Linked DNA regions of Mytilus edulis. The protein of the gene in region 2 purifies or fractionates together with the protein of the main gene of each other region. This does not show direct contact. Links are inferred from orthologs where the notes say so. Each region holds a gene or a part of one and is shown on either strand. Other genes may lie near its edges. The genes, in order: 26S proteasome non-ATPase regulatory subunit 4-like and ubiquilin-1-like.

Region 1 (10,918 bases), about 21 Mb from region 2:
GCCTTCCATGTCAACTTGTTAGCGACAAGCACAGTTTTTAATTAACCCAAACGTGGTGGAAATTGATTTTGGAGTTACTTCCCCTGTTTTAGCTTATTACAAATTTGTGCTCTAAAAATATTATCTAGTACCAAAAAAAGGAATAAATTACCAATTGAATATATAATAACATAATAATGTTACCTTAAAGATATTAACTGTCTTTGAACATATTAAAAAATATATATTGCAATTTCTACTTGATAATTATACTTTTAGCAATCCATGTTCTAAACATTGCTAAATTAGTAATGCTCTCTGTTCCAAATCATATGATGTATTCAAACTATAATTCCTATATAGATGAAAAAAACAAAACAAAAAACACATATTCTTTGATAATGGGTAGAGTGAAGTTGAACTGTAAAAACATAATATGTTGATGAAGATGTACTATATCAATCATAACTACACAAACAATGAAATAAAGACTATAGTTGAAAAGCATCTTTATTTAAAAAAACCAACATACATGTATACAGTAAAAAAAAAAGAAGAGATTCGTTAACTCGTGATACACACAGAAACGTAGACAAAAAAATGAGCAGTGCCTTTTCTTATCATAAAAAGTGCCCTGCCCTCCACTGGCACCCTGCCCCTTTTGATTTCTAGCTAGAGCACTGACATGTATGCTGTTAGTTTTCTAGTTTGACTTGTTTTACATTGTCATTTAGGGACCTTTTATAGCTGACTTTGCCATATGGATTTTTCTCATTGTTGAAGTTAGTACAGGACCTATAGTTGTACATTTTAATTTCTGTGTCACTTGGTCTCTTATGAAGACTTATCTCATTCATGTCATTGGCAATCATACAACATCTTCTTTTCTATAAATACTTTTTTTTTTTATATCATAACAGAATATAACATAGCAAGAAGTGCTTTTGTGCTTGATATGCATTCTGATAGTCACTTACTTTCATTCTATAAACATGATAATCTAAAAAAACAAAAACAACATTAATTTCTAAAGTATTTGAATTTGCATATACTATGTATACACGTATTTTACGTTCATACTTCTACTTTTCAACATTATTTCTCTTCAACTTACTGAGACATAACTAATAGTCCAACATTGTTTTCTGGATTAGATCTAGTTTTGGAGTGACAAACAAGATTGACAGCATCTTGTTGGGCTTGCAGTCTAGTAGGAACAAAGTCACCATTTCTCATATAATCACTGTTGTCAACACTGAAACACATATAAAAGTAAATAAATTGCAAGTGTATCAAAAACACTAGTCACTACTGTCACTAGGTTAGGACTAGTCCAAATAATTATGACGTCTGGCAAGGCTATTTCATTTTTTTTCTGGGACGCCTTCCTATAAGGTCATAACGCTGAAGCCATTTTTTACGTCTGGAGTTTGAGAGCAGATTTTGGTGGGAACTTTGACACCTAGTTTTGACATGAAATTTTCATTGCCGGTTAGAAATTTTTACATAGTTACAAAGTCCTACCTTTTTTGTGCTTATTGATGTAAAATATTTCCTGAAATATCCAAAAGAAAAGATAAAATAAGGTACGATTCCATTTGAGGTGGGCAAATATTTATTATGTCTCAAAATGTTTTCCCATAATTACCAAAGAAACGTCAATTCCGATGGATATAAAATTTAAAATCTGTAAAATTTGACAGACCAGAATTTCCAGATAATGTAAATGGAACGTTCCGGAAATTCGGCTCCATTAAATTTTACCGTTTTTAATATTTTAACATGACGTCCTTCAAACGTTTGAGTACACACCCGTGGTAAAATCTGAATATATTGCCAGGGCTGTTCCAATCGTACTCCAACGTCATATACTTTTTTATGAATGAGGTGCCCGACGTCATAGAACGATGACGTAAGAATATAAGCATTTTACGGGATGACACGCTTGTGAAACCGAAAATTATCACAACAAGGAAACGTAAACAAACGATGCTAAAAGCTGGTTTAAGCCATTTTTTAAAAACATATTAGACATATATAAGTAAACTATCATTTAAATTCATTCAAAACGATATAAATACGTTATTGTGATTAGCTTAAGCATGTCAATAATTCAGTTAGCTCTGTTCTTTTACGCCAATTGAATAGTGCATTTATATATGGGAACGGCAAATATTTGCCTCCACCTAGAGCGCTTCGATCCAAAAGAATAAATGTATATACACTTTTGGTATTTAGCTGTATTTTGCCTCTGAATGACCTTTTATCACCTCGGAATAACCTTTTGACGTCAGGCAACAATCACTTTTTAGTTGTGACGTCAAAGTTTACGGGAACCTGTGTGATTTTATGTAATGGCGGACAAATTTGCATACAAGTGTAATTACGTCTATTGCCGTATTTGTCCTATTAGAATCGAAATAATTCATGGGGGTTTGAATATATCCAGATTTTACCACGGGTTGTTCCTTTCAGGGCTGCCAAATTTTTTTTGAGCCAGCCGGACATTTTATATCTGATCCCGATTTTAATCTCTAAGACTAAGTCACAAAAGGCAATTATGCTAATCAGATGGCCATCCCAAATTATGATTGACATTAGATTGACAATGACGATATTAAAATTTACTTTGATATGAATTTGATGTTCTGAAGTAAACTGTTAAAATTGGCAGTGCATCATTCAAAGTGTGCACATCAGCATGCTCATATCTGCCTTAGGCTCTTTATTTGTGCAAAATGACATTGTCAAAAAATTTACTTTAGTTTTTAAAGTCACATTTTCCCAAACCGGATGTTGACTTGACAATGGTAAAACATGGACCATAAACGGATATGTAAAATCAGTGTACGTTTACAAAGCACGACTGAGTGAAGAAGCTCTTTCCACGTTATTTCTCCAACAAAATACTTGAAATGAACGTTAGATACAGGTATCAATGATAATTTTAGCATTTTTGAAGAAATGTAGGATGCATAATTAAATTTCCCACCTGTGCACATGCGCACACATGTTCTTATTCATGCAACGAAGTTCTGACGATTTTTCATTTAAAACCTTTTTAAATGTTTCATCAAATCATGTTTATAAATGTATTTATTATAATTTATTCTTTTGGACTAAATCAATTAGATACAAACTGCTGAAATGTACGGAAATAATTGTGAATAGACAGATTAATTTATCCGATGTCTGGTACTGAAAATTATAGTTTACCTGTCATCTGAGCAGGTAGTTTTCAGCTGTCCAGCAACTAATTAGCCTGGATTGAAATTAGAAAGTATTGAAGTAAGGGTTGTTTTGATAGTAATTAATCATCATGTCACTTTTAAGATCGGAAATGTGGGGCTGTTAAAGGCATAAATTTGGGTCAAAAGATCGTGAATTAAGTAAAAATGACCGAAAAAGCCTTGAAAACTAAAAAGTAGATGACCGTTTCATGCTTTGCCCAGCTGGACTTTTAACGGACATTATACAAATGACCAGAATATTTGACCGTTTTGGAAGCCTTGGTCCCCTTATGCCGATATTTTACCCCTTGCTATCGCTCAGGGTAAAATATTTGTCATAAAGGGCCAACTCGTGGTAAAATCACGATATAGTGATCAAGCCCCCATTAGTTATTTCTTAAATAACGTCAAAAGTAAAATCCCTAACAACAGAACCAAAATCGGAAATGTTACAGTATTTCCGTTTCTTTTTTTAACAGATTTGAAGTTACAAAAAAAAATCGTACAGACTTCGTCCCCTTTCACAGGTAATGCCTGCCTCATATTACATTGACATAATTTGTGGCATTTTTGCACTTGGTCTTCGAATATTTCCCTTGAACAGTAAAATTCCATTATAGCATTATATTCAAACAGGGTTAAACAAAACCGATTTCTTTATAATTTTACGTGAAATGATCATTGTCACATTGATATGACCGAGTCCAACCGGTGATGTGGATTTCCAAAATCGCTAAATCATCGTCGTTATAACGAATAAATAATTTTCACACATTAAATACCCTAAATCAGGAATAGTGAATATGAGACGATAAGCAAGTTTACATCGGGCCTCTACCGAAATATGTATCTTATTAATTAAGCTTGAGTGTGAGGGAAACAAATATGATTTAAAGTTTTTTTACCAGACAATTGTACTTTCGAGAACCATTTTGGAAATGAATGATATGATGCGTTGTGATTGGTTGAAATTATTTTCCATCTTAATGTCCGGATGATAGACATTCAACAGCACAGCACAACGACGTAAAGAAAAATATCGCTGTGCTTGCTTTTTAAAGATTGAAAATTGATTTAAAATTTTTCATTGATAATCTTTCACAAAGAGCAACATTTAAAAACAATTAAATACACAAGTAAATGAATAAATTGAAGCAAAAGTGCATATAATTATATTATTAAATAGTATTGTATTTGTTTACTGGTTTCCGTCACACAACCTCGTCATAAACGGAACCCAGTCTTCAAGCACATGGTTCAACAACAACAACAAAAGAATTATGGTCAACTTCTATGGCTATGACGAATTTATGGACGATAGATCATTACAAATATTGAACGAAAAGAACGTCATAAGAATCAACTCATCATGGAGCAACACAGCAGTTTATTTTGGCAAGTATCTAATTAAAAGAACACAGTTAGGTCAATCTCTTGGAGATTACTACAGTTAGTTTAATAGTATATTTTATCTGTTGAATGACACTAACTTGCTCAGAAAAAAACACTGGACCGGAACATTTCCGTTGATAACAAGGTGTAACTGTAAAAGAATAAAGACAAAGGAACTTAGAACCGACTGAGTGGTATAGCAAATATTGGATTGTTACCAAAGACTGACAAACCTGACAATATTTACAAACATGCAATAGTGAAAGCTAATAAATTTTTATATAGGTATGTCATATCATGGGTCTTGCATCTATGGTCATATATTAAGATACTCAGTTTTTGCAAATTTGATATGCATGCTGAGGGTAGATTACAACTGTCCAGTGTCCTGTCACTCAGTATTCTGTCTTGTACTATCACACCGTGGCTTTTTGTAGATGTTAACCTGTACAAAAGCACCATAGAAACAACAAAGAATCTCCATCATGACACATTTGCTAAAATGTCATTGTTTAATGCTTAGTATAGCTTAATAGTTATACTTCAGTTTGTTATTTAAGGCATCGTGCATTGTTTGTCTCATTAGCATGATTAGTTTTCATATTGTAGCTTTCATGTATGCCTGATCTTCTCAGTGAGAGGATAAGCATATAATGGATAACTGTGGGTCTGGATTTCTGCATTCTTTATTTTTAAATCAATTTCTATATTCTTTAATTATTTTGTCAATTTTTATATATACCGTACTTTCTAGCATCTATTATAAATCTATTCTTTTTTTTTTTGCCAATTTTCTTTTCCCCCTTTATTCTGCACTTTTGACTGTAGTTCTCCATCCAACCAGGCCCTCTTACAATTGCTTTTGATACGTTTTGACTGGGCAACTAGTTCGGCCATAAGTCGTTTCGGCCGCTGAGTAAGTTCAACCAAAGTCATTTTGGCTACAGTCATTTCGGCCATACTCGATTCGGCTAGACTTTTTCATATTGTTATCATAATATGTACGACTAAGCGCTCATATCACAACTTCTTATGCATATTGATAATTGTTAAATATTTTGACTGAAGTTTGTTTTGAAAAGGAAAATTTGTAACAAAAACGAAATAATCTTTTTGACATAAATTGTAAAGTAAGATCCTTGCATAAATTGTGACTTTCTTATGGCACTGTGCCACACATGGTTAAGATATTACTGATTACAATTTGATACGAAATTCCAGTTGACAAGGTCGGTACTTCAAATTGTTATTTAACGTCTGCTTCTAATTTCCCCCTCCCTTTATAACAATGAAAGCCTTGTCTGAAATGACCTTACAAAGTTTTGCCGATTTGGAACTGGCAGTATATGACCAAAATGACAATGGCCGAATCGGCTGTGACTGAAACGGCTTGCATCGGTAAACTTGCAGGGACAAGTTTGCGTTTTCAAGTTCCTGAAATAAATTCTTGTCAAAGTTGTGACAAACGTTTTCAATTGCTTTATCTTAGATATATGTTTTCCGTCTTTCATATCCCCAAGCATATCCTACGTAAATTCTAATACGATAATTAATAATGTTTTAAATGTTGAATAAGTTTCTACACATTGTGTTGAACACGATGTGGTCATCTTTATTCACATGCATCATTTTAAAAACTTCGGACATGTGGATATTGTTCGTATCCTCGATATGTCAGTGCATTTGTCTGTTTGAAGAACTATTTTTGTGATACAGTTTTGTGTTTGCAGTATATGCTTTTTATTGCTAAAGTCGATAAACAGCCATTTGAGCAATAACGCAATTTTTTTTATAAATTATTAACTAGCATACCAACACAGACTAGCTCGTATCTTTTGCCAGGTGTCACAGGCCTTATTTGAAAATGTAAAGAATGCCATATGGACGTCATATGCGATTAATATTTTATCATATTATAAAATTGAGAATGGAAATGGGAAATGTGTCAAAGAGTTATTTTTTTTGTGATATGTTGATATGACGTTGTTTGCTGCCCGTACGTCTACACATTGTTTTTGTGGTTCTCCGATTATTGAAAATATTTTGAAAAGAATTTTGCCAATAAACAAATGTCACCTTTGAAGATATAACATGTTTGAAGACCATTTTAGAGAATCATTTAGAGCAAGGAATACTAAAAGACCAAAGAGCAGAAAACGACCGAAGGCCATCAATTTGTCTTCAACACAGTAAGACAATCCTGCATCCGGAGACGTGCTTCAGCTGGACCATAAACGAATATGTGTACTAGTTTAGTGATAATGGACGTCATACTAATTAACTCCGAAATATATAAACGAACTAAAATTAAAAAATCATACAAGACTAACTAAGACCAGACTGAGCTACCTGACTTGGGACAGGCGCAAAAATGAGGCGGGGTTAAACATGTTTTGTGAGATCTCAACCCCCTATACCTCTAGCCAATGTAGAAAAAAATATATATGTAGCAATACGTAGTTAAAGTTAACTGATATCTTTACTATGCACTCTTGGTCCTATATCTAACTGCTACTAGTGAAGCAGGACGGCTTATCTTTTCGTTGCTCATGCCCAGTCTCCGAAAAATACTTATATACCCTTATGTAACAATTTTCTTATGACTGTGGCGTTGTATTACACATGAGGTTATAGTTAATAACTTTCAATTGAAGATTTAAAAGATAAATATGACAGATCATCCAGTAAAATAAATTAAATAACATTTAGATGAAAAGATGAAAGAGTAGATTGTAACCCCCTCGAAAAAAGGGATGATCAACATTGGCTTCCCCTCGGTTGACAATTGTTTTCTCAGGAAAAAATGTACTCTATCTTTCTTTTGATTATGTGTTGTTTAAATTTTTTTTTCAATTAATCTTATTTTCTTAATCATTCATTTATATATTGCACATTTGAATAAAGGATTTTCTTTCAGATGACGGAAAACAAAAAGTATTGGGCTATCAACATGCGATATTGGACCAAATTCTTTACAAAATTTCTGGATGTTCCATTAAAAACATTACATTTGTTGGTGAAAATCTAGTATGTTTAAACAATTCTGATCAATGTTATATGATAACAGACAAATTAAAATATTTTATGATACAATTTTATGACAAACAGCAGCACAATGGACAGATAAAGATATGCCATCTTACTGCAACGGACAAAGACCTCGTAATTATTTCAGGTATGTTCATAAACTGAGAAGTTGTTAAATTTATATCAAATACTCTTATTTTCAGAATCATCATGTTTAAGATTAAACATATCTTATTTGCAAAATATCTCCAAAAGGATTAGACACAAGTGAGTCCAACTTAGACCATCTTCTCCTACTATATAATTTTAATCAATACAATTTAGATCATGATCATTTACAGTTTGTGTTTGCCACCTATCATTACTCGAATACTGAGAGATGTGTCATCTGCAAAGAGTCTAGTACGTTCTTCTCGACAGAATCGTTTATACAAATTATAAGAACATAGGACCGACCCTTGGGGAACGCCTGCTAAAACAGATGTAGGAGAAGAACAGGACGGTTTAACTTTTTCATCATATATATTTCCATGTGCTCTTATGTTTAATATTATATTAAGTATAAGATAACTCTAAATCATGTATAGGAATCCAAATGCAATAAACCCCACTCCCATAGGCGGATCCAGGGGGCCCTGGGGGGCCCGGCCCCCCCCTTTTCGTGGGAAAAATTTGGTTGATTACATAGGGAATCATTGAAGCATGACTGGAGCGGGCCCCCTCTTAGGTCAGTCAGCGCCCCCCCCCCCCCCCTTAGGAAAAGTTCTGGATCCGCCAATGACTCCTCACAAGAATTAAAAACATAGCATGTTTTAGATCGAAAATATAGGTTTAGCACTTAGTAAGTGTGCCTTTCAATAATTTTAGGTTCTAAAAAGGCCATTTACAAGATTTACAATTGGTTTGCTTCCAGTTATACTATACATAATACTAAAACCCCTCATTTCTGGAGTATTTAGTGCATATTTTGTCTAAATTGAATGATAACTTTTCATGTTTAATGATGAATGCAAAATAATGATGAATGCAAAAACCTTAACAGTACCTAACTACACATCTTTATATTACTTGAATAAAAGTCAGACGGATATGAGCTGACACTATCGCGCCCGTTTAGTGTCTTTAATCATACTAAGAGTAAGGTACTTGCTGTTATCTTGTGAGCTAGTATGTTAAAATCCGAATCAAAGTGTCGATCTTGTACAAAGCAGGGCTTTATAAAAGCATATATCCATGATCTAAAGGACAACTTTTTAATTTGTTAAAGCAAAAACTTTGAAAAAACAGTTGATCGTTTTGGAATAATCGTTTCACAGATGATATCGGATATGTTCCTTATGTCGTAACTACAATTCACTTCCCTGTTCACTACAAATGTGACTTACCGTTTATACTATAATTTACCGGGGTTGTAATAACATGAGCAACACGACCGGACGGGTGCCACATGTGGAGCAGAATCTGCTTACCCTTTCGGAGCACCTGCGATCACCTCCAGTTTTTGAAGGGGTTCGTGTTGCTTAGTCTTTAGCTTTCTATGTTGTCAAGTGTGTAATTTGTCTGTTTGTCTTTTTATATTTAGCCATGTCGTTGTCAGTATATTTTCGATCCATGAGTTTGACTGTCCCTCTGGTATATTTCATTCCTCTTGCTAAATACACATAAATATACACTGCAAGTATCAATATATAAAATCAGATTTTAAGTATTTATTTTTGAAGGTATAGAATCCAAACAAATGATAACATCGAAAATAAAGAGATGTGGTATGATTGCCAATGAGATGTGTTATGATTGCCAATGAGATGTGTTATGATTGCCAATGAGATGTGTTATGATTGCCAATGAGATGTAACTATTATCCAACAAAGTTCAACGGAAGTGATTATAAACAATTACTAATATAGGGCAACTGTATTGCCTTCAATGAAGAGAAAAATCCATAACTTATAGTTTGTTACAAAAGGTCCCGACAAGAAAAATATAAATAAAAAAATGACAGATATGAACGAACGACAACTACTGAACTACAAGCACTTGACATGGGGCAGGTATATATATAGAATGTGGCGGGGTGTCTTGAAAATGCACTTAATATTTTGCAGACAACCGTTAATAAAATGTTAATAGATCAATTATTGTTATTACTATATATCTTTACAAGAGGCAGTAGGTTGACATGTTTGTGTTATTTAGTTTTTGCTTATAAAGTACCATATGAGCCAATTTTGTAAAGCATACCTCTCAATAAGAGACTTATTGTAACATTTCCCATCATATTCAATGTTGAGTTTTAGTTCACTTGTTACTATTATTACAGATACCAAGATATGTTTTATAAGCGAGAACATATTATGTAAAATAGGAAAAGACATCAGATGCGAAGATACAGATATTACACCAACATATTCATTGCCTTTAGTGTCTCTATGTACAGATACAGTGGCTGCAGTTAGCTGTGGAAAGGAACATGTCTTACTTTTAACAACGTATGGCACAGTCCTCACGTTTGGCGGAGGAACGTATGTAGGCCTAGTATATAAAAATACGATATAAGTAAAGGGAGATGTACTTGCTGTTTTACAAATTGTTTTAATCACTTTAATTTTTAACACAAACAAAAGTAAGATTTGGCTTAGATTTTACATGAAACACAGTGACGTTTAAGATAATAACTTTCAAATATTGTATGCCCCTTTTTTAATGCAATTTTCTTTATATAACGCATCCGAAGAAATCGTGTCATTTCACCAGATTAGACATAGCGATTGCTCTTTCCGAGATATATGTAGCTTTTCTGCATTCTACTGTGTCCAGTACATTACAGTCAGTCGCAGTGATATGTCTTCACTTGCTTTCACAAATGTTTAACATTAGCAGTCTTTATTACTGTGTATTCCATTTTATTTAGTCGAGGACAACTTGGTCATGGAACAGTTGATAGTACAAAGGAACCACATTTGATAGACAGCTTAGCGGGACTCAAAATGTTAGCAGTTGCAGCTGGTGGCTGGCATTCGCTTTGTATTTCAGGTAACACAAAACGAAATGATTGTTTATTGTATATCAGTAGAAAAACAAGAGCATCGGTGTCCAAGTAGAACTGATATATATCACTAGCCTATCAACACGGAGTTAGTGTGGCCAATTCCGCATGTTGCAGGTGCGCTCGAATCCAAGCTTAATTTAATAGTACTAGTAACCAAGTTGTCAGTTTTCCTACAGAAGATCGGCACGAAATAGCACAAAAGTGTTGAAAGTGTCGTCAAACACCAATCAATATATTGGAA
Region 2 (11,048 bases):
TATTTCATTATGACAAATATATAAGGAAATAGGTTTTTGTTGATTACAGAGTTTAATTTACTGAAAAACAACTTATTTTCACAGATACTTTATTTTGTGTTAAGTCCTTCCTATCCCTTTTTTGCTGCAATTTAATTTCACGATTTTCAAATTAACTTGAAGTAGATGAATTAGATGAACTGTCATGTGACAGGCGGGTAACTACACATGCTTACCCTGTTTGATGATTTGATCACAAGATGAACTGTCATGTGATTGGTGGGTAACTACACATGCTTACCCTGTTTGATGATTTGATCACAAGATGAACTGTCATGTGACAGGCGGGTAACTACACATGCTTACCCTGTTTGATGATTTGATCACAAGATGAACTGTCAAACCATCTTTTATTTGATGCTGTTCTAGAGTGTCTTCATCTTTCAGTATTTTTCCAGCAAATATTAAACAAAGCTGTTCAACTGGAGCATTGAATTTCTGTGACACCATTTCTCTCAACTGTGAAAAACAGAAATAAAAGATATGTTACCAGGTGCAAGTAAAGTAGCTCTACACTTAGAGACTAGTCTAAATAATACTTGCCATTTGCCAATAAAGTAGTCACATAAATTTTGTTTAACAGTTTATTTTTTATATAGAAGTACCATACCTTTCAATCAGGAAAAATTGAAGACAAAACTTTAATCAACTTGATTATTAAATAACAAGAATGACAAAACTGTAAGGATATGTTGCAATAAGTGTAATGTCCCTGTAAGCTACTATTTAATGTGTTTGTGGTCACACTGCAATTCAAACTGCACACTTCATTGAATTGTATTCATATCTTACATTTTGTAATTGTCTGATTTAACTTAAAAGCAATGAAAATGTCATGTACTTTATATTTCTTTAAATGATTGCTTGACTGAAGGAGCTGCTAATCATCTGGTAAAACAAAGTTAAACGTAGTAGAGCTCTTGAGGGCTTCTTAAATGCTGGTATGCTTTCAAACTTCATTCAGGTCAGCTTGGTTAACTTTGGGGTCTCTAGTGCTAATTTTGCAATAGGCATTTGATATCCCTAATTGTCAATCAGCTGACTTTTATTTTAAGTTAGTGTAAGAACCTTTGTAAAATGATCATATGTATCCCATGATCAAGATTTTCTTAATTCTGACATACATGCATGTATGTATATACCATGTATACAGAGGAATAAATTTTTAAACTTAAAATGATACATGTACCAAACAAGTTTGATTCATTGTTTGTTTAAAACTCCCCATTAACATGATTAATCTGACAGGAGATGAAAACTCCATCATGAAATACCACATTTGATTATCTAATTATTGCTGATCACCTATGTCTCCCTTTGGAAAAATTCAAAATCAGGAACCAACTAACTTTGCATGTATTTAAAAAAGTTAATACGATCAAAGTATTGCAATAGGTCATTTCTGGAATCATGTCTTTCACTAGAAAAGATTGTCAATTTCGCACGCCTTTATGATGTCATTTACCAGAAAGAAGGCGCGCCTGTATCCCTGCTCTATTAAAAGTTTCCAGCACTTTCATAATCGTCATTCTGTAGGGTAGTATAGAAATAATTAATGTTCCGTAAACAGTTAGGGGACTTACTGAAATAAGTGATTTTTAAATCACTTATTTGAGTAGCAAATTCGAAGTTTTGTCACAAATTGTGATTTTGTAGTTTTACCAAAATTTTAAACACATAGGTTTAAAAAATATCTTTTCATTAGTAAAATTGAAAAAAATGAATTGTTTGATTCTTTTAAGTATCAAGGTTTATGCCTTTGATGCTATCATTTAGCTGCAAATTCTATTTTAGTTGAAAAAATGCTATAATAATGGCTTTACATGTACATAATGAACTGATACTTTCTTCACAGATTTTTCCCAGCAGTGGGAGTATTTTTCCTGTAAAGTTCAAGGTTTTATCTTTCAGATTATATAATAAAATTCTACTGTTCGCGATAAAAATTTCACTGTTCGGGGGTGTTGAAATTAGTGGGGGTTATTAAAATATGATACTTAAAGAAGTGATTTTTGGGAAGGAAATTGAAGTATGATACTTAAACAAGTGATTTTTATGTCATTATCCTAGATTCAGTACAAGGTCATCACCTGAAATGACCTGGTCATCCTAGACAACACAGATGTTGGTTCTGATAAGTTTAGAAACATAATTAGTCCCTGGATCATTAGTGTTCTATATTTAAAGCTACAGTAAAATTAAATCACTTCTTCTAGTGATTATTTTGTACTACTTAAATAGGTGATTATTAAAGAAAGACAACTCTTTCTTTCAACCTTTATGGAAATAATGTTACTTGAATCAGTGATTTAGAAAATCACTCATTTAAGTAAGTCCCCTGACTGGTAAAATCATAATCGAGATTGCCGTATGACTGAGGGAGGGTGACCATCCTTTTAGATTTAAATTTCCCAAATATTATGTGCAGTATAAAATAAAACTTTTTCACCCGTTTGCTCAACATGTGTTGGAAATTTCTATGCATACATTTTTGTCACGTGGTGATGGAAGTCACATGACAGATTCATCTGAAAACAGTTTCCCGGAACTGGCCTATTGGGACAAGTGGTCAAAATCATGTAGTTTAGATATATAAAATTAAGATGTTGTATGATTGCCAACAAGACAACTCCCTACAAGAGACCAAAATGACTACATGGTAGTACTCGCCAACTGTACAAAATGTATGCTGTTGTAAAGGTGACACAACCACAAATGGGACACTAACAAACACTAACAACCAAGGCCTCACTGGTATATACATTTGTAACTGAAACAACATGTGGACGAAATGATTAATGACCGTAAAGTCTCAAAGCAATACATGTGACCTCAACATACTTTTAATTTAATTACAACTCTTGGTTTAGTGCATAATAACTCTGAAACATTTGAAGATTTTGACGAATCTGTCATGTGACTTCCATCACCACGTGACAAAAATGTATGCATAGAAATTTCCAACATATGTTGAGCAAACAGGTGAAAATATTTTCTTTTATACTGCACAAAATATTAGGGAAATTAAAATCTAAATGGATGGTCAGGTCACCCTCCCTCAGTCATACGGCAATCACGATTATGTACTTACGGAACATTAATTATTTCTATACTACCCTACAGAATAACGATTATGAAAGTGCTGGAAACTTTAAATACATTGTAGAGCAGGGATACAGGCGCGCCTTTTATCTGGTAAATGATGTCATAAAAGCGTGCAAAATTGACGTTATTTTCCGGTGAAAGACATGATTCCAGAAATGACCTATTAAGATAAGTACATACCTGTCAACCTCTGAAAATGAAAAGTCAGGTCATGACCTGCATTGAGAAAAAAAATCTCAGGTCATAACGCGTACGACATTTTGCGGGCTCAATTGAAGAACAAAAATATGTTTACATATAATTTATATAGTCAATATGTATATGAAACAGTTAGAACATGTATACAAGTTTATTTCATACTATTGTTATATTCCATAGTAGCAGACTTGGCATTCTTTAAAAGAACTGCACTTGGTTTCAGTTCATAGCAATGCAAATGTGTATTCATTTTACAAGAAAGAAGAGCACACAGTGTATCCTTATTAAGATCAGCCCTACACTCTGTAGCTATTTTCTTTACTAAAGAAAATGCCCTCTCACTGTCTGCATTGCTGTTTGGCAAAACCAGTAATGTTTTAGCAAGTTTTGACAAAACAAAAAATCTTGGCTTGTTTTCAACTACCACTTTGTTATTTTCAACTGAAAGGGCCCTCTTTACTATTTGGGTGGTTTTAGTTTTTCCACAGGAATAACCTGAAGCTATTTCACAGCTCAGGTAAACATTCCTACATTTTGACTTTTGGTTACATTGAAAAAGACCGATAAAACCGAAGGTCGCATTACTTCTAAATACCGGAAACAATTCCGGTCAGAAATCCGGGTGAAACGGGTAATGTTAGAAATTCCCGGGACCCGCCGGGTAAAGAAAAACTCCCGGGTGAGAGGTGAAAATAACGGGTGTCACCCGCAAAAAACGGGTGAGTTGACAGGTATGTAAGTAGGTAATGATTTTATTTATACAAAATTAAAAGGGTTGTACAGTTTGTATATTGACCCCTCACTGCTTCAGCTTCCAACCCTGGGTTTAGGGTGTGATTCGTTTTAGAAGTCTCTCCCAAGTATGATTAATATATAGGGAGCTGAGCAATGCAAATGTCTAGTAAAAGTGATAAGCTGATGTAAGCAATTGAGTAGATTTAATCTGTTAATAGAACATTCTAGATAACGAATTATTGACATATGCAGTGAGAGAAGTAATCTTATGTATGGATTGTAGAGAGGTTTCAGGGATATTCTATAACTTCCTAGCGATAGATTTACCTCCTTAACATGAGCATTAGTATCTATTTCCATTTCCTGCTTTTCTTTTGGTGTTTTAACCGTGATTTTCATGGTTTTACGAGACTCATCCATTCGTTCGTCCGCCATAATGTCTGTATTTTGACCTGTCACTATTCTGATTCAATGACGCGTTTGATGCATACTAAAGTTGGTGTGTTCTATAAAACAGCTATGGTGTCTTTGTATTAGGGGCTTTCGAGACGTTTCGGCCATACACCAGTTCGGCCATGGTCGTATTGGTTCATACATTATTTCTCAATGTTTCATCAAGGATTTGTATAGTAACTATACAAATCCTTGGTTTTATTAATGTTGAGAAAAAAGAAAATAAAGGATAGCACAAGATTCGAGTAAAGTACAAAACATCTATTAAATGCTTAATGATCGAGAAACGATTGATTTGAAAAAAGAAATTAGTGTATTGTTTTGCTTCAAAATATTATAATAATAAAGTTGGAGCAAATAGATAATCAATTCCACTACAGATACGGACGATTGTATATCTAATTAGATAATTGGATTAGCTAGGTGATAAACTAAGTGTCAGAAGTGATTGACCGAGGCGCGTGTCTAAGATAATAAACCAATCCGCGGCAACTTGTAATTTGATTTGATCAGTCCAAAACAAGATTGTCAATTTTGTGTGCTTATATAATTTTCTGAAGAATTCAGGGTCGTAATTTATTTGGAGAAGTTTTTGAAATATTTGAAGTATATTTTTAATAAAACTTGATTAATGAAGATTTATCAAATTTTACTAACGCAAATGATATGTTTCTTGGTACCATTTAGCCGTTTATGCACCCTTACCACTTTGACTCATTGAATTTTTGACAATTATTTGATTATAATGGATTTTTTAAAATAACGTTTGTTTACAAAGATGCTTTATATAGTTCAAGAAAAACACAAAAATACGTTTAAAAGATAAATGAATTCTTAATCTGTCTTTAAATGGGGTTATCCATAATTGTCAACCATTTACCAAAGTGCACAAAACATACACTTTTTCAGACCCCCCACCCTCCCTCAAAAAGTGTACATCAACCATTTTCAGATTTCAAGACAAAAATCAATCATTTTTAAATAAAAAGAAGATCCTGCCTATTATAGTTTAGTTAATGTAAACATTTGCATTGAAAATAAACTGAACCATATCTGACTGTTTTATTTTTATTTAAAAAAAAAAACGTACGGTAATAATGTTGATTTTTAAACCCCTCCCCAAGTGTACGTTTTGTACACTCTGGAAAATGGTTAACAATTATGGATGACCCCTAACATTCAACCTCTAAAAAGGTCGAATAGAAATTAACCTATTTACAAATTTTATTTCGGCAGTATGTTTTCAGAAAGCTATCTCTGCATTCTTTTAAGCAATCCACCAAAATCGCATGTCACATTGCATTTTTCGCCTGTCAAGACGATATTTTTTGTAAACTAATCAACAGCAAATACTGGTACTACATATCATAGTAAAATGATGTATACACAATACTGGTTTTTTTTTTAAACATCCTTACTTAAAGCAGAGACATATAACACATTATCATTGTATTATATGTCACTGCTTAATGAAAAGATAAATTTATAAAATTGAGAATTGGATGTGAATATGTCAAAGAGACAACAACCCGACCAAAGAGCAGACAACAGCCGAAGGCCACCAATGGGTCTTCAATGCTGCGAAATACTCCAACCCCCGGAGGCGTGCTTCAGCTGGCCCCTAAACAAAAATGGTTCATTCTCATTTATCCAACTTTTTAAATTTATAGGTGGTACAGGTAAAAAAAAAAGTTGGATAGATGAGATCAAAGGTAATCAAGAACAAAGGTTTTTTCAATTAGAGTTTTGGTTAAATGACAGGTTAAAACTAAGACTGAAAATTATAGCCGGATTAAATTTTAGGTAGTATTATTAAGCATAGTATGTTAAAATGTGCAATGACATTTAGTTAATGTCATGTAAATCATTTGAAAGTATTTTTAAGTTTTTTTAACCGTTAATCAAAATGTGAATTGGATAGAAAAATATCAAGTGCACTTTTATTCATGAAGAGATTTGTCAATTAGATGGAGCTTTTTTTTTGTGTAATAGATCCCCTTCGTTCATTTTTTTCTGTTCTTCTGACCAAATGATCCAAATGGGACAAAATATAAGTTGAATACGTTTAACTACACAAAGACTGAACATGTCATATCAAAGTTCACACAACATATATACATATATAAACAAAAGCAAAAGCAATTCAAGCACAATGGTTATAAAATACTGGCACAGAAATATCAATAGCACACTGTGACTAAATAAATGTTCAGTAGATTCACACAACATACAATGGTACTAAAGAAATGTTCAGAAGATACACTCATCATACATTTAAAAAAAATAGTAATGCAAGCACAATGGTTAAAAAACGTAGCACAGAAATATCCATAGCACACACTAAAGGAATGTTCATTAGATCTTCATCCTAGTTTCAGTAGGTGGGATACTGCATCAGTGTAGTGATATACGTTGATGAAATTTCGAATTGAATGGCTATATATATACTACAACATGAGCTTAACTATGAAATGTAATCTTATAAGAATAGAGTTCATTCATTCATTCATTCACATGTTTTGGAAAAATTGCTGAGTACTGTAACATAGTTTTAATTTTTAACACCAAATATGCTGAACACGAACAATGTTTAATTTGGTAATCACCTTGAATCATCACCAGTATTATAAGTTAACAGGTGTCACATTTATTGTAATGTTATAACTTGCACTTACAATTTAAAAAGTGATAAAATGTTAATATAAAAATATTACTGATTTGTGGGTTTCTTCTGTATAAATGATGAAACATTTATTTATTATCTAAAATGTACTAAATTTTATTTAAAAAAAGTTTACTATCGCCTGTTTTATATATATTTTTTAAATAATATAAAAAACATACAGGAACAAATTTACTGTCAAATTTTAAAAAGACACCTTATTATTACTAAACAAACAACCCAATAATTAACAAAAATAAAAAGTTGGCTAAATGAGAATACCTTATTTTAAAAAGTTGGATAAATGGGAAGACACCACAAAAATGTATACTAGTTCTGTGATAATGAACGTCATACTAAACTCCGAATTATACACAAGAAACTAAAGTTAAAAATCCTACAAGACTAACAAAGGCCAGAGGCTCCTGATTTGGGACAGGCGCAATAATGAAAGTAATTAGTATATACAACACAATTTCTTCACAGTATGGTCATTACAACCATAAGGACAAATTGGCTCTATGGCCGAAACGTCTTGTTTCCTAACAGAAGTTCCTCTGGATTTTTTTTTTATAAACAATGTTATAATGTAAGTTTTTATTGGAATAAGTATCTATACTAGCTCTTTATTCTGTTATATTTCTTCGATTTGGAACTTCTATTGCATCACAACTGGCCGTAAAAATATTGTTTTGTTTCCCAAATAAATACACATAGTTATAGCAGAGACATATAATACATTTATATTATTATATGTCTCTGGTTATAGTAATATATCAGCTTGATTTCCTTTCATTGAAAGGAGATTGCTGCTTACAAAGAATACAAGAGATCTGGTGCAGTAAAATTTGTACCGTTTATATTATCCCAAATGTTGAAGTTTGAATTATCATCAAAAACGAAAAATTTATTAAATATGATTATCTGTTTTACAGAATTGAGATGACAGACTATCGAATTAGACATACCACAATTATATTTGATGAGCAACATGAAGGGAGTTATCGACTAACTGATTATGAGACAAAGAACCACCAGCATAGGTATCGATCTCAGTGGCGGATCCAGAACTTTTCCTAAAGGGGAAGGGGGGGGGGGGGGGGGGGGGCGCTGACTGACCTAAGGGGGGGGGCCTCTCCAGTCATGCTTCAGTGATACCCTATATAATCAACCAAATTTTTCCCACGAAAGCCCCCCCCCCCCCCCCCCCCCCTGGATCCGCCTATGTGATCATCTGATAGAAGTATTACAATTAAAACAGCGGTACCAACTCAAAGTTACATTTTTGATTATGTCGTGGCCTTTTATAGATAATTATGTGGTATGGCCATTAAACTGTATGGTGGCCTATATAATTGCTTCAATCTAGTGATTCAACAAAAACATTTTTTTTAGTTTGTATTATTATACATGTATATGAAACAACCCGGGATTTATCCTCCCTTTCTGTATCTAATTTAAAAAAATGATTGGTCAATCGTCAGCTGTTACGTTAGAATGAAATTACGTAATGGATAACCATGTTTTTTCTGCTTCTACCAGATAATTTTTTATATTTAGAATAATTAATGCTGTTAATTTTTCTTTTTAGAATATTTTACATATTGCACCGTGGCACATTGTTTTAACACCCTTAATCTCGGTGGATAATTGTCTCATCGGAAATCATACCACACCTTATATATATTTTGTTACTATAGGTAATTTTTAGAACGCACACAAGCCAGATAAAGCTTTTGGCTGACTATGATTTCGAGAGAAATACGAAATTGCAATCGATGTATTGCTACTAAAATGTGTTATTGTTTCAATAGGTATCTGCAGAGAAGTCATTTAAATGAACCGGACAATATTGTGATCAAGTTTATATATTTTCTTATGACTTGTTTGCAAATTGCTGCATTTTCGGTTATTAGTGAGAGTTACGTCCCTTATCCCGCTAAAAAAGACCAAAATAGATATTTATAATTTTTGTGACATTTAAAAAAAGGGGCATTTCAGTAATCAATAAGCTTATATTTAAGAACAATCATAAAAAGAAGTTTGTCAGTTGATTGCCCCTTGGACACTAAGACAGTAAGCAGGTGTCACATTCGCACCTGTGAAAGAGAATATTCTGTATCTGTATCGTTACGTCGAAGGTGTTGTGTAAAGTAGATAAAATGCGTTGTGTATAGATCGTGTTTATTTTAACGTCTAGCCATTGCTATAAGTAACGTCATAAATACATAAGTCAAGTAGCAACGTTAACATGTATATATTCGCGCTAAATTCCCGACATTCTCGGGGCCGGCAAAAGTTAAAATATGAAATTATTAATTCTTTAAATGTCAATCGAATAGATATTTCTGAAAATTAAATAATTAAAATGTCTTTCTAAAACAAATTCAAATAATTCACTTATTAAATTCACTTTTAACGAAGTCTTTCACTTTTAACGAAGTCTATCACTTTTGGGTAGTCCATTTCTTGATGTTCTCTCGAGCTCGGACAGATGCCTCTCGTTTTGGTAGAACTCTTGTCAATCTCTCTGTTGAAGAATCATCATTGTTGTCATCTAAGTTGTTAATGTTTGTCCGGATTTCGAGCGGGTACAGTTTTACTATAGGACGCGAAGTACGTCCTGCACTAGTTCGTATTATAGCTGCTCGTGTAAAACCATCGTTTCCGGTGATCAATTCATCAACAACGGCAATGTTCCATCGGTTTTTCGGTAATTTATCATCTTGGACTTGCACTACATCTCCAACTTGTATAGTTTGTAAGTTGTTTCCTGTTTGGCGATGAAACTCTCTAAGAGTCGTTATGTACTCGGATTTCCACCGGTTCCAAAAATTCTCCATTAAACTCGACTGTTTATTCAAATGTTTATGCAGTTCTTGTTTTCCACTATTCACGGCAATGTATTCAATATTCGGTTGTGGACACGGCGTTAAAGTTATTCTTCTTCCGTACAGCAAGTGTGACGGAGTTAACGGCTCCTCGTCCTCAATATCCGGTGATACGTAGGTCAATGGTCTATCATTAATGATCGCTTCTATTTCTGTCAGAATTGTTTGAAGTGTATCCATGGTAACGTAAGATCTGCCTAATGTTTTCTTCAAACAAGTTTTTGTAATTCCTATTAAGCGTTCCCACCATCCACCATACCAGGGCGCTCTTTTCGGTATGAATCTCCAAGTTGTTCCATATGTTGACAACGTATCGTTTAGCGATGGTGATTGGGTTAATTTCTTTAATGTTTCCGAGGCGGCTAAATACGTCGAGGCGTTATCCGATATAATGGTGTGTGGTCTAGATTTACGACCAGCGAATCTTCTAAAGGCTTGTAAAAATGATTTTTCTGATAAGTCCGGTACAACTTCCAGGTGTACGGCTCTCGTTGAAGCACAAGTGAATAGGCATATAAAAACCTTGTTTTCAGTATCATGTGTATCTCTAATGTACAGCGCTCCGGTAAAGTCTACGCCGGTAATTGTAAAAGGCGGTGCTTCAAGTAATCGAACTTTTGGCAGTGGCGGAGGATCGGGTGCTGTATATGGTTTACTGTTGATTTTTCGACAAATTACGCAATTTCGCAAAATTCCTCTTACGTATTGGCGAATTCGGGGTATCCAGTAAGTTTGTCGTATCTGAGTCACTGTTGATAAAACTCCTGAGTGTTTCATGTACTTGTGTATATCAAGAACAACTAATTTCGTAAAATGATGACTTCTAGGTAATAAATAAGGAAATTTCGTATTTTCACAAACAGGTGCGTTATGAATTCTCCCTCCACAGCAAATTGCGTCTTTGTTATTCAGGTACAATCTTAGTTGTCTAACTAAAACAGTAGGTTTAGTATCCTTTAATTTCA

Evidence for each region.
Region 1: the proteins of ubiquilin-1-like (region 2) and 26S proteasome non-ATPase regulatory subunit 4-like purify together in Drosophila melanogaster (affinity purification with western blotting; 3 studies listed by BioGRID, with this or other methods). This does not show direct contact. The link is inferred for Mytilus edulis from reciprocal best matches to the Drosophila melanogaster genes Ubqn and Rpn10.

What each region holds. Positions count from the first base shown.
Region 1 is NC_092347.1:13,365,158-13,376,075, forward strand, and holds the start of 26S proteasome non-ATPase regulatory subunit 4-like, read right to left. Parts: upstream 4,225-10,918; 5' UTR 4,192-4,224; coding exon 4,115-4,191; intron 1,235-4,114; coding exon 1,094-1,234; intron 1-1,093. Other genes in the region: uncharacterized protein, read left to right, coding at 4,490-4,604, 7,519-7,776, 9,949-10,150, 10,540-10,661. UniProt on the Drosophila melanogaster protein: Binds and presumably selects ubiquitin-conjugates for destruction.
Region 2 is NC_092347.1:34,491,747-34,502,794, reverse strand, and holds the start of ubiquilin-1-like, read right to left. Parts: upstream 4,576-11,048; 5' UTR 4,513-4,575; coding exon 4,405-4,512; intron 499-4,404; coding exon 346-498; intron 1-345. Other genes in the region: uncharacterized protein, read right to left, coding at 9,640-11,048.